Linked DNA regions of Mus musculus: all the other regions are reported to be linked to region 3. The links are microRNA targets in miRTarBase. Many come from high-throughput screens and were not tested one by one. Region 3 holds a microRNA gene; each other region holds the end of a gene's coding sequence.

Region 1 (4,000 bases), not on the chromosome of region 3:
GGTTGTGTGTGTGAAACGCTTGCGGCCAATCGTGTCTAACCGCTGGAACAGCGATGAAGTAAGTTGGAGCCAAGTCCCTGTAAAGTGATGAGTGAGTGCCGAGTTACTCTGTGCTCACCACACTCTGTTTGCATTTATTTCTCTTTAGTGTCTTCGAGCAGTTTTGAAGCTAATGTCAGAATGTTGGGCCCATAATCCAGCCTCCAGACTCACAGCTTTGAGAATCAAGAAGACACTTGCAAAAATGGTTGAATCCCAGGATGTAAAGATTTGACAATTAAACAATTTTGAGGGAGAATTTAGACTGCAAGAACTTCTTCACCCAAGGAATGGGTGGGATTAGCATGGAATAGGATGTTGACTTGGTTTCCAGACTCCTTCCTCTACATCTTCACAGGCTGCTAACAGTAAACCTTACCGTACTCTACAGAATACAAGATTGGAACTTGGAACTTCAAACATGTCATTCTTTATATATGGACAGCTTTGTTTTAAATGTGGGGTTTTTTTGTTTTGCTTTTTTTGTTTTGTTTTGGTTTTGATGCTTTTTTGGTTTTTATGAACTGCATCAAGACTCCAATCCTGATAAGAAGTCTCTGGTCAACCTCTGGGTACTCACTATCCTGTCCATAAAGTGGTGCTTTCTGTGAAAGCCTTAAGAAAATTAATGAGCTCAGCAGAGATGGAAAAAGGCATATTTGCCTTCTACCAGAGAAAACATCTGTCTGTGTTCTGTCTTTGTAAACAGCCTATAGATTATGATCTCTTTGGGATACTGCCTGGTTTATGATGGTGCACCATACCTTTGATATGCATACCAGAATTCTCTGCTGCCCTAGGGCTTAGAAGACAAGAATGTAAAGGTTGCACAGGAAGGTATTTGTGGCCAGTGGTTTAAATATGCAATATCTAGTTGACAATCGCCAATTTCATAAAAGCCATCCACCTTGTAACTGTAGTAACTTCTCCACTGACTTTATTTTTAGCATAATAGTTGTGAAGGCCAAACTCCATGTAAAGTGTCCATAGACTTGGACTGTTTTCCCCCAGTCACCATTTTGTTCTCCTTTTGGTAATTATTTTTGTTATAAAAAGCCACCTATCCAGAATTGGAGCTCTCTGTCTTGAACCATACTTTGAAAGAAACGCCTCTTCCGTACTGCATCTGATCACAATGTGCATACCTATGATCAAATTCTGGAGTCTTTGTTCTCGGTACCTCCTAAAAAGGAAAGTTGATTCTTGTGTAACATGCTTTTATTTTCAGAACCTGCACAGCTGTCATTCTAGCCATGTTTTACCTACACACTCAGTTCTATACAAGACAGCCCATACACTCTGTCTCACATCTGATCCTTGGTGGGAAGTGTTTTAAAGTAGAACTATGTATGAATTTCAGAATTCATGCATTTTAAAACTTCACTAAGATATTGTCTCATATCTTTATGAGAATGTCAGCTGACTTTTCAACTAACAGTAAATGTATTTTAGATATCTAAATCTTTTGAAATTTGGTTTTACAATTTCTGGTCCCTAATTGTGAAGACAAGAGGCAGAAGTACCCAGTCACTACCCATATTTACACTGAACGTTATTAAATAAAATGATGTGTATTTTATTATAAAATAAATATAGGCCTTGTTATCTCAAAAAACAGATCTGGTTCAAACTTATTATACCAATATCATACTATTTAAATGTTCTAAGTAAACAAGCCATGTGAGCATCAAGTGGCATTGGCTCTTTGGATGAAACATAAACTTAAGGTGATTGTATCAACACATAGAGTGACTGAAATTAAATGGGAGGCAGGTAGAGCATATGTCCATCTGTCCACCTACAGGCATGACTAAACTACAGCTCATATTCCACAAATTTGAGATTTGTCTTGCCTGGTTTGTTTAGTGAGTCTCATCTGATGTACCTAAAGCCTGAGAGTACTGAGGTCTGATTTTATATCTTTCCTGAATAAACTAAATCTTTTTTGTCACTTATCATCTTAATGATATACCTAAGGAATAATTCTTTGGCATGTTTCAGTTGTGTGTGGCAGCCACTGTAATGACTCTTCTCTAAGAAAGGCTGTCAGGAGTTAATTATAAGGCAGGCAGTGAGCGCTCTAGTCACTGCCTTCCCACGCTGCCATCACTGCATTCATGGGAATCAGTGACGTTCTCGAAATGGCAAACGCTGCTGCTTTTCCTTATTTGGAATCCTAAAATCAAAAGTTGCATTAAACTTACTGTGTTCTCTTCTCCCTCTCAGCCATAAATGTAAAATTCAGTAAGTAAAAATATTTAAAGAGTGTATCAGCCCTTTGGCCAGTGAGATAGCTCAGTAGATAAAGGCATTTGCTGCCAAGTCCTCAACCTCAATTCAGACTCTGGGGGACACATGGCGAAGGGAGGAGCCAACTACCCCATCATTGTCCTCTGACTTCCACACACTCCATGGCTTGCGCCCCTCCCCACAGACACACACCATGTACTCCACAAAAGTAGTTTAAAGGAAAAAAAGAATAGAACCCACTGTGTAATGGAATAAGTATTATGTAGTTACTTAACAACTTGTAAAAATCTGGAAACTATGATTTGGTTCCCCTTTGAATCTAGAGTTTAAAAAACAGATGGCTAAAATCAGCCATCATTTAAATAATTAAAAATAAAAGCCCCAAACCCCAAACTGCCTAAATAAATACCAAGTAATCCAGGAAGCCGTCATGTGTGGTTTGTATGACCAGTAGTTCTCTGGTACAGAGCATGTTAAGATTTGCCCCAGCCTGATTCTCTGAGGTCTCTGCATTACTGAGTACTGTTCTGAGTATAAAATCTGAACTGATTTCTCTAGAAATACTGTAACAAAAAGGTATTTTAGTCAGCATGTTATGTTAACCCTTCCACTGTCTAGAAACTTGAATAAGCACATAAAGACACCTTTTGCTGTCATCATCTGTTGTCCTGGAATGTGCCAGTTTTAATTTATTCATTCTAATGATATTCAATTTGCTTTTCTTTTTTAGATGTTTTTCTTGTTTAGAGTAAAAGGACGAATTTTTCAAGAACCTTGCATCTCTGATTTGGCCTAAGGTCAAATTGGATATTGAGTAGTCTATTCCAGGGCAGATTTCCTAAGCAATACTTGTCTTTTCAGCTATGTATTGTTTTGAAATGTTTCCATTTCAACAGAGGTGTAAGTCATGTGAAAAGAAAGGTGGTGTAGCCCTTGTGGTAATGACACAAGTTGACTTGCGTCAGATGTTAAGCAGGGACAGTTCTCCCACCTCCTGGCTGTAAGGAGTGGAAACTAGGCAAGCAGTGTATCAGTCCACAGAGGACAGGAAGGGTCATCCCATAAAGAAAGCCTGTGAGTATGGCTTTGGCAAAAAATTAGACATAATACTGTCCTTTTAGGTTGTGCTCTGTTCTTTCCTTTCAGTGGAATTATTTAAGCTCTTTAGTGGCCTTTGTTTTTCCCACTTAAAAACTAAAATGTAGCATATATTGTATAAAATGGAAATATTAATAGCTTAGGGAAACTGTACATAAGGCATTGACAGGTTTAAAAAAAGCATTTTTATTATGCAGTTGTAAAACACCAAAAATATAGATTCATCTTGATATGTAACACTAAGTGTATTTTGTACAGCATCTGATTTGAAAGGTGCCTTATGAAGTTTACCATTAATTGCTTTGTTCTATATACAGATTATGTCCAATGTATCATTTTTCAGTAAATAACCTTATTTTAGTATACTTCAGTGATGTGTTTTGTGATGCTGTTCTTGGATTTATTGTGTATCAGACGTCAACTGTTGAGATTTTGTACGTAATGTAAGTGTGCATCCCTACGCTGCTGCGCTTGCATTTCGGCTTCTGGAAAGTCCTGGAGCATGGCCAGGTAAGTGACGCATGCTTTTCCTTCATGTAGATGCCCAACCCACCTTAATGAGGGGATTGTTTTTTCCTTTTATACAAAGAAAAAAAAAAGCCACATTGTTTTC
Region 2 (4,000 bases), not on the chromosome of region 3:
CTTGACTCTTGACTAAAGTTACTTTTCTTCCTATTTTTATTAACAGGCATCCCTAAATGTGTTTGTGCCTAGAGAAAGTGCTATGAATAACCGATGATGCATGTGTTGATTAACTTGTGAATCATGCTGGGGGTGGGGTGGGGGCAGGGAAGGAGCAGGAGCTTTAGAGATGAATATAATGTGTTGTAAAATATTTAGCAAATGATCATCCAAGCCACAGGGAAAAATCCAAGAGATGGGAATTTGAAAGCTGCCAGGATTTAAAAGCTATTTAACGCTAAGCATTGGTGCCAAAGAGCTGAGAGCATCCCTCTCCTCACTCCATTGGCAACAGAGCTTGAAAATGTGGAAAGGGCTTGGCTAGGCTGTGGAGCACTAGTGGGAACCGAGATCAGGCAGAGAGCTGAAAGGCCTCTTGTTTGAGAGCCTTGTAAACAAGGGATCGCCTCCCAGGACCCACTGAGAGCCCCACCTTGCCTGTGGCTTACACATTCTCTCTTGCCATCTCCCCGATAAACTCCCAACGTGGCGCCAACATTGTGAAGACACCCAGCAGTCATCGAGATGTTTCAAAATCCCCGGATGCTCTGCATCAAGGCAGAAAGAAACCACCATATGGCCGAGTGAATTTGTCACCTTCCTTCCAAATGTTTGGATGTCACTCAGACACAGCCTTGGCTCTGGTTCCAATGTGGCTTAGCTCTCTCTGTCATTTTAAACGTTTGGACTCTGAGGTTGCCTTTCTGAGGGATGTAGCATTTGTATATTTTTAGGGCTGGAGTCAAGGCTCACTTTCATAATCTCATTCTTTGGAGATACATTTCCTTCCAAGAGGATAGAAAGACCTTTCTTGATGTTTTGGCTTGACAGCCCCTCAACTCTAAAGTTGTAGTCTCCTGGGTAGAAACACCACTTGTTACGGTAAATGAAGGGATTAAGTTAGGGCCTGGGAACAGTCATCCTGGAGAGCAGAGACTTCAGGATCATTCAGTAACAAGGCATGCTTTAAAGACATGATGTGAATCTGATGGCTTTAACAACCCAGAAGCCTCTAACGCTAGGGAACAATTTATAACCTGCTCTGGCACTTGTCGCAAACATAACATGGAGCATGAGCCTTTGAGTTTAGCAAAGTAAGGGATCTCTGGGCAAATGGTCCTGAGAGTCACCGTATCTCTGCTGTCTATATCTAGGGCCAGGGAGCAGCAAGGCCCTCCCCTCTTCTGCTCGGTTGTTCTTTCTGGCTTTCTTTCCTGTAATGCCTTTTGTTGTCTTTCTTGCAGAGCCTCAATTCAGCACCATCCTGAGGCCTGCCTGAGTCCACAGGTTCCACCCTGACTTGTCAGTCTTTGTGAATCTTCGCTTCCCCACAAACGGTCCCCTAGCATGTGACCAAGAGCCCCAACCATTCATCCAGCACACAATTAGTTACCCGCATTATACTGTTTTAAGAAAGAGTCATGTTTTTCTTCTTAATTGAATGATAAGCTCATTTTGGCAGACTCTTTAACGTCTTAAAAATAATTATTTTTTTATTTATTTGTGTGTAGAGGTCAGAAGACAGCTTTTGTGAGCTGGTTCTTGACTTGCAACCTTTTGAAGCAGGGTTTTTCTTGTCTCTACTGCTGTGAATATTCCAGCTAACTGGGCTGAGAGCTTCCTGGACATTGTCTTGTCTCTGCCTCCTGTCTCATCATGAGTTGGGATTACAGATGCATGCTATCGATCCAACTTTTTATATGAATTCCATGGTTGGGAAGCAGGTGATCAGCCTTGTATGGCTTACTAAAGCATCTGTCCTTTCATATTTTTAAGTTAAAATATTTTATTTATGGGTATGTATATGTCATGTGTGTGTGTGGCTACCCAAAGAAAGCTTCAGAAGGACTGTAGTTGGGAGTTACAGGTGGTTGTGAGCCACCTGATATGGGTGCTGCCAGTACTCTTAACCACTGAGCCATCTCTCCAGCCACCCATTCCCTTTGCTTTTGAGATGGGGGTCTCATGTATCTTAGGCTGGCCTTGATAGAAAGGCAATATTGAAAGATAACCTTGGCCAGGCAGTGGTGGTACACACCTTTAATTCCAGTACTTGGGAGGCAGAGGTAGGCAGATTTCGGAGTTCAAGACCAGCCTGGTCTACAGAGTGAGTTCTAGGACAGCCAGGGTTATACAGAGAAACCCTGTCAAAAAAAAAAAAAAAAAAAAAAAAAAAAAAAAAAAAAAAAAAAGGAAAAGAAAGATAACCCTGAACTCCTGATCCTACTTCCTTCCTCCATTTCCTAAGTGCTATAATTAGAGATCTCTTTCAACGTGACTTTTTTTTTTTGATTGCTTTTGGTTTTGTTATTTTTTATTTATTTTTATTTTTTGCAGTGGTAGGGATCAAACCTATGGCTATCTGTTTGCTAGGTGAGCACCCAATCCCATAGTGTTAACACTTAAAACATTTGTGCTCTCTGGAGCTTCTAGCAGTGCTGAAATGACACCTCGGGCCACATTGGTGTCCCATTAGTAGGCAGTATAGTCAAACCTTCAAACTTGTAGGGTTTACATCCATGGGGCAAACATTCTGGGGGCATTTTAGTGAATTATTGAATTTTATGACTCTTCCCATTCTTGTCATGATTCCCAGCTATTATAATACAGCTTACAACATTTCCATTGTGTTAGGTATTGTAGGTATCTAGAGACAGTTCAAAGGATAGGGGACAGTATGCAGAGTTTACTTGAAACTCCTGTTATGAAAACTTGAACACCCATGGCTCCTTCAGGAGGCCTGGAGCCAGACCCCATGAGTATAGAGGGATGACAATATGTTAAACATGTTGCTGGTGATTCGTGAAAACTCAGAGTCGTGGGAGAAGTTTGGGTTCTTGTGAAGCCTTGAGAGCATGAGGACCTGAGTCCAGCTCCTCCCCTCCTCTCGAATCCACCTAAACATGCCAGACAGGGTAGTGATGGGCGGGTGGGGCCAGGCCGTTCCCCGGGGCTCACTGACCCTCTAGTCTAACCTAATTGGTTAAATTTAGGCCAAATGAAAGACCCTGTCTAAAAGTGGGTAGATGACAGTCCTGAGAATGAGCCAGCTTTAGAGCTGTCTCTGGGCCTCCATACACATACACAGCATCTACTCACACATAAACATATATATGAGCACATATGCATGTCAAAGGATGAAGAAAAGAAAGAAGAAAAGAAATAAAATGAGGAAATCCTTTCCCCCATCTGTGATGGCAGAATGGGAGACATGCATTCATTCTTTAAATACTATAAACAATTTTATAATGTGGTAATTTTTAATATTAAAAGTAAATTGTAAATGTATCTTTATAAACAATATGCATAAAATAGATCATGTTCTAAAACTTTTTGTTTTTAAATGCTTTTTCACAGTAAATTTCTTAGGTGTCAGATTTTTTTCCCTCAAAATAATAGTGCAATCAATAGAAGGAACACGTTGTCAGCGGGTGGGACTTTCCTGCTAATACAAGTCCTTGTAGATCTCCTGGAGCAGGGGGTGAAGGCTCATGTCTGTCTCTGTCTTCTTGATCACATGCAGTAGCTGCACGTGCTCTGTGACGATCTGCCTGAGGTCTGTCATCTTCTGGAGCACCTTGGCGAACAGCTGAGAGGACTCTGGGTGATTCAGCTTGAGCTGCAGTTCCAGGGCCTGCAGCAGGTTGTCTTGGATGTCCTCGATGGGCTTCACGTTCAGCAAGCCTGGGCGGTCTGGGAGAATGAGAAGACAAAAAGAGGCTTTGTCAGACCTCCTCTGGGGCTCTAAGGAGTGCAGCTTCAGATTCCCTGCTCCCCAGGCTGGAGAAGAAACCCAGTTCTCGAGCTGTTAGGCACATGCTTTACCGAAGAGCCAAGACCCCATCACCGCCCTGTTTCTTAAGCAGGTTCGTGGAGCGAGGCTCTGCAGCTAATGGGCAAGACCCAAGGATGGAATCAAAGGCTCAAGCCCTTCCCAACCAGGACTAACTGATGCAATGCC
Region 3 (4,150 bases):
TTCATGGCATCGTGGTGACACGAAGAGCCACCTCTTGCTGGTGGCTTTACTGCTTTTCCATCTGCATGTCATAATCTCTGCAAGTCAGGAGGCTTAAAACGCCCAAACCTAGAGTCTGTAGGTTTTTGGAAAATGCACCCAGATTGCACTGTCCTTCATTGCAGGAAATGACCACCAGGGGGCGTCTGGCTCCAGACAACGTCATTCGGAGCTCCGGAGGTCTCACCAGGTGCGGAGGGCAGCTGGGGACGCCTGTGTCCCCAGTGACCTGCCCATTGCATTTTTGGGCTGTGGATGAGACTCCCGTTCTTAGATGGATTCATCCAGCGGACGGCCTGGGCATTCTTCTCATTCTCCGGTTCTTTATGTCCTTAGCTGTGTCTGACAGGGTCATTGTTTAGGACCGTTCTCTTGGAAGCTGTGTGTGTGTGTGTGTTGCCTCTGTGGGGCACTATGGGAGCTGGCTGTGACTATGAGTGTGGCCATAGTTCATGGTGCGTTCCTTTGCTCCAGGGAGCCGATCAGAGGCGATCCGCCCCTTAGCCCTTCTGGCGCAGACGGGCGCGCGCGCGTGCGTGCGTGCGTGCGTGTGTGTGTGTGTGTGTGTGTGTGTGTGTGTGTGTGTAGACGGGCGCGCGCGCGTGCGTGTGTGTGTGCATGCGCGCGTGTCTGTCTGTGCTCGCATATGTGCCCGTCCTTAAGCCCTGTGTGTGTGTGTGTGTGTGTGTGTGTGCATGCGCGCGTGTCTGTCTGTGCGCGCATATGTGCCCGTCCTTAAGCCCTGGCATCTTGCCAGTCAGTGCATCCCAGCATAGGCAGAGTACATTCTTGTAACATACTCCCTCATGGAACTGGGGTGACCACAGATTGGTCTCATACACCCCAGGTCTGGGTTATCCCTCCCGTTCAAGCCATCCCCAAAGGATCCCAGGATCTTCAGGTCGCAGCACCTACTGACCACAGAACTATATTTACACCTTCCTAGAAGCAGGTGGAGCAAGGTTGGGGATAGGTGCAATGCAGGTTAGGAGCCCAGGGTGTGGTAGATATAGTGGTGCAGCTGGTATTCCCAAACTCCAGACACTGGAGGAGTTTGATTCAAGGTCAGCCTGGTCTACACAGAAATGCTGTTTCAAGAGAAATGAAAAAAGCCAGCAACACACATGTGGGAGGCGGGAATGAAGAGACGTCAGCCCTTACGGAATGAGGCTGTGGAGCTTTTATTTAGTTGGAGAACAACATTCAATACAAGCTTTCAACTCTGTTCTTCCACCCAGGCTTCGATTTGCCCCTGCCCAGAGTAGGGAGAGGACACTGTATGGTCTGGGAAGTGTAACTCAGCCAGTTCCAATTAGTCTGCATGCAGTCTCATTTGTGGGTAGTAGGCAACTTTTTAACTTCCAAGCCTGGAGATTACTTCAACAGGCCAATGGGGGGGGGGGGCATGGATCTGTTCATATCCTGAGGCCTGTGTGGACCTCGCTCCCTGCCTCGCTGTCACCAGCAGAAAGCTGCAGACCCCATGGGATTGCTAGGCACACTGGATCAGGTCAGTGCCTTCTTCCGGAAGCAGAGAGTTGGCATTTAACCGTTAGAGGGCCTAAAGCAGCTTCCTCTTGGGTAACTGACTTCAAAGATGGTATGTATAAGGGGTGGTGCCTGAGCCCCACCAGACTTAGGAAAAGAAGGGCTTCCAGGCCCTGAGGGGACATAACTGGCTTTTAATGCAAGGGTTACCCGCCCATCTATCTGCTTTGGGGAACCACAGAAATCTCAAGGTGGACACCCAGATGCAGGCTTAGAGGCTGAGCCTCCAGCAGACAACGGGGCTTAGGTTGGACTAATTACCCCATTGTTTCCAGGTCTTGCTCACGGCAGACATTCTGCAGGGTTGCCAGCTCCTAGGGGGCTGGACTCCTGTTCCTGCTGAACTGAGCCAGTGCACTGGAATCAACTGTTTCAGCTCAGTAGGCACGGGAGGCGGAGCCCGGAGAGAGGCAGAGCCCTGCCAGCCAGGAGGCAGAGCAGGGTGGGCAGCAGCGGCCTGAGGAGATGGGGTCCAGGGGGCGGAACTTAGCCACTGTGAACACGACTTTGCTGTGGACCTTGCTCACAAGCAGCTAAGCCCTGCTCCTCAGGCCAGTTGTCATGATAGGCTTCTCTGTTACCCAGTACCCAAGACAGACATCCTTGGCGACAGGAGCCCCCAAGGCAGAGCACAGGGTCAGTTGGAAATCCCTGGCAATGTGATTTGTGACTGGCATCAAATCCCATCCCCAGGAACCCCAGCCGTCCGAGGCACAGTGAGGGGGGCAGCAGGTGGGAGCGGAGTGTAGCACCTAAAGAGAGAAAGAAGAGACAGTGAGATTGGAGCATTCTTGCTTGCCTGCCTATCTTGACCAGGCTGGGTCTCACATAGCTGAACACAAGGTTTCCGAATGCACCAGTTCTTCCTGCCTCTACCTCTGGAGTCTAGGATTATAGGTACACCTCACCACACACAGTTTAAGTGGTGCTGGGGACAGAATCTAAACTCAGCTTGCTGATCCACACCCTAGCCCTCCTCTACTTCCAAGAGGGAAGAAGCATTCCCAAAAAAGAGGAGCATCGATCCGTAGGAAGGTTGGAGCGAGGCTGCTGGATGCTGGGCACCCAGCAGTGCCTCTACCCCAGCCCTACAAAGCGGGAGGTGCCTGAAGCCCTAAGGCCAAAGGGGCTGCAGAGCCTTCCCAGCTGCTTCCCACTCTGCTTCTATCCCCACCCACAGCCCTGAGCCCAAAGCAGGCCAAATGGGGCCATGGAGAGGAAGCTGAGGGAGGTGGACGGTTGGAGGGAGGAAGTGACCTCACCCCAGCTGGCGCCACTTCCTAGAAGCCTGAAGGGCAGGAGGAAACTCCAGGGCCTCCCACCTCAGCCCTCTCCTCCCCAGCCAGCTCAGACATAACCCCACCCCCACCCCACACCACCTAGGGCCCAAGCAAGGAGAAGCAGGCCGATGCACCCCAACAATAACACCTCAGTAAAGTTTCCCCTAGGCCTTCCAAGCCTCAGTTTCCCCATCTGTAAAGCAGACTACAACAGTTGCAGTTGGTGGCTCACGTTTATCTCAGCATTGAGGAAACTGAGGCAGGAAGGTTGCCAAGAATGGAGTCAAAAGCCTGCTTAAGCTACATGATGAGTTTTAGGCCTAACTGGGCTACAGTTTGAGACCCTAGTCTTAAATAGAAGAAAAACAAAAATAAAACAACAAAACCCCAAACCTTCTACTAGGAAGGCCAGTGAAAACTTACAGAGAAGGTATTTAGCACCCAGTACCAGGGCAAGCCACAAAATTTGGGGCCTACCCAATGTAGAGTAGTGTCCTGCGTGCCAGTTAAAGTTTTCAGGGGCCAGCAAGCTGATCCAGCAAGTGAGCAGAGCTGCTATGGAGCCCAATGCCCTGAGCTCAAACCCAAGAACCACGAAGAAGAAAAGCATACGGACCCTTGCAAGTTGTCCTCTGATCTCTGCACTTGGGAACACACACACACAATTTTTAAAAATTGTTTAAAGAATTTCAATGTTGGAGAGATGACAGGTTTCTTTCCCAGAACCTACATGACAAGCACAGCTATCTATAGCTCCATTCCCAAGAGCTCCAACGCTCCCCACTGGCCCCTGTGGGTACCAGGCATACATATGGTGCACAGACGTACGCGTAAGCAAACATTCACAAACAGACAATAAAAATAAACTTAAGAATGGTGGTGCACACTGTTAGTCCCAGCACTTGAAAGGCAAAGGAAAGCAAGAACCAGGCCTTGGACAGTACTATCTCTAAGAGTTCAAGGCCAGCTTGGTCTGTGTAGGGAGTTTCAGACCATCCAGGGCTACATAGTGACACAAGTGACCTTGTTTCAGATAAAGAGCTGACTCAGTGGTTAAGAGTGGCTACTGCTCTTGCAGAGGGCCCGAGTTTGGATCTCAGCACCTGTCACAACTACCTGTAACTCCAGCTTCTGGGGATTTCACTCCCTCTTCTGGTCTCTGAGTGTACTGCACTGTCATGCACAAAGACCAGACAACACACACACACACACACACACACACACACACACACACACACACACGTCTTCTTTATAAAACATCAGGGTCGGGCTGGTGAGATGGC

Evidence for each region. The annotated mature microRNA mmu-miR-27a-3p reads UUCACAGUGGCUAAGUUCCGC and lies in region 3 at 2,067-2,087, opposite strand. An mRNA with a match to its seed (bases 2 to 7 or 8) in the 3' UTR can be bound and repressed. Matches are read on the target gene's strand: a 7mer-m8 pairs with bases 2 to 8, a 7mer-A1 pairs with bases 2 to 7 and ends in A, and an 8mer does both.
Region 1: miRTarBase lists Bmpr1a as a target of mmu-miR-27a-3p. Seed matches in the 3' UTR shown: 7mer-A1 at 645-651.
Region 2: miRTarBase lists Pparg as a target of mmu-miR-27a-3p. Seed matches in the 3' UTR shown: 8mer at 3,390-3,397.

What each region holds. Positions count from the first base shown.
Region 1 is chr14:34,410,818-34,414,817 of GRCm38, reverse strand. It overlaps Bmpr1a (bone morphogenetic protein receptor, type 1A), which reads left to right. Exons shown (of 13, transcript NM_009758.4): 12 at 1-58; 13 at 149-3,750. The coding sequence ends at 274. Among named protein-coding and RNA genes, the nearest start is that of Mmrn2, 37 kb to the right of the region's middle.
Region 2 is chr6:115,489,680-115,493,679 of GRCm38, reverse strand. Pparg (peroxisome proliferator activated receptor gamma) reads right to left here. Exons shown (of 8, transcript NM_001308354.1): 8 at 3,279-3,732. The coding sequence ends at 3,485. Among named protein-coding and RNA genes, the nearest start is that of Gm36301, 28 kb to the left of the region's middle.
Region 3 is chr8:84,206,664-84,210,813 of GRCm38, reverse strand. It overlaps Mir27a (microRNA 27a), which reads right to left and starts at 2,142; the gene lies at 2,056-2,142. It overlaps Mir23a (microRNA 23a), which reads right to left and starts at 2,296; the gene lies at 2,222-2,296. It overlaps Mir24-2 (microRNA 24-2), which reads right to left and starts at 1,999; the gene lies at 1,893-1,999. It overlaps Mir3074-2 (microRNA 3074-2), which reads left to right and starts at 1,907; the gene lies at 1,907-1,989.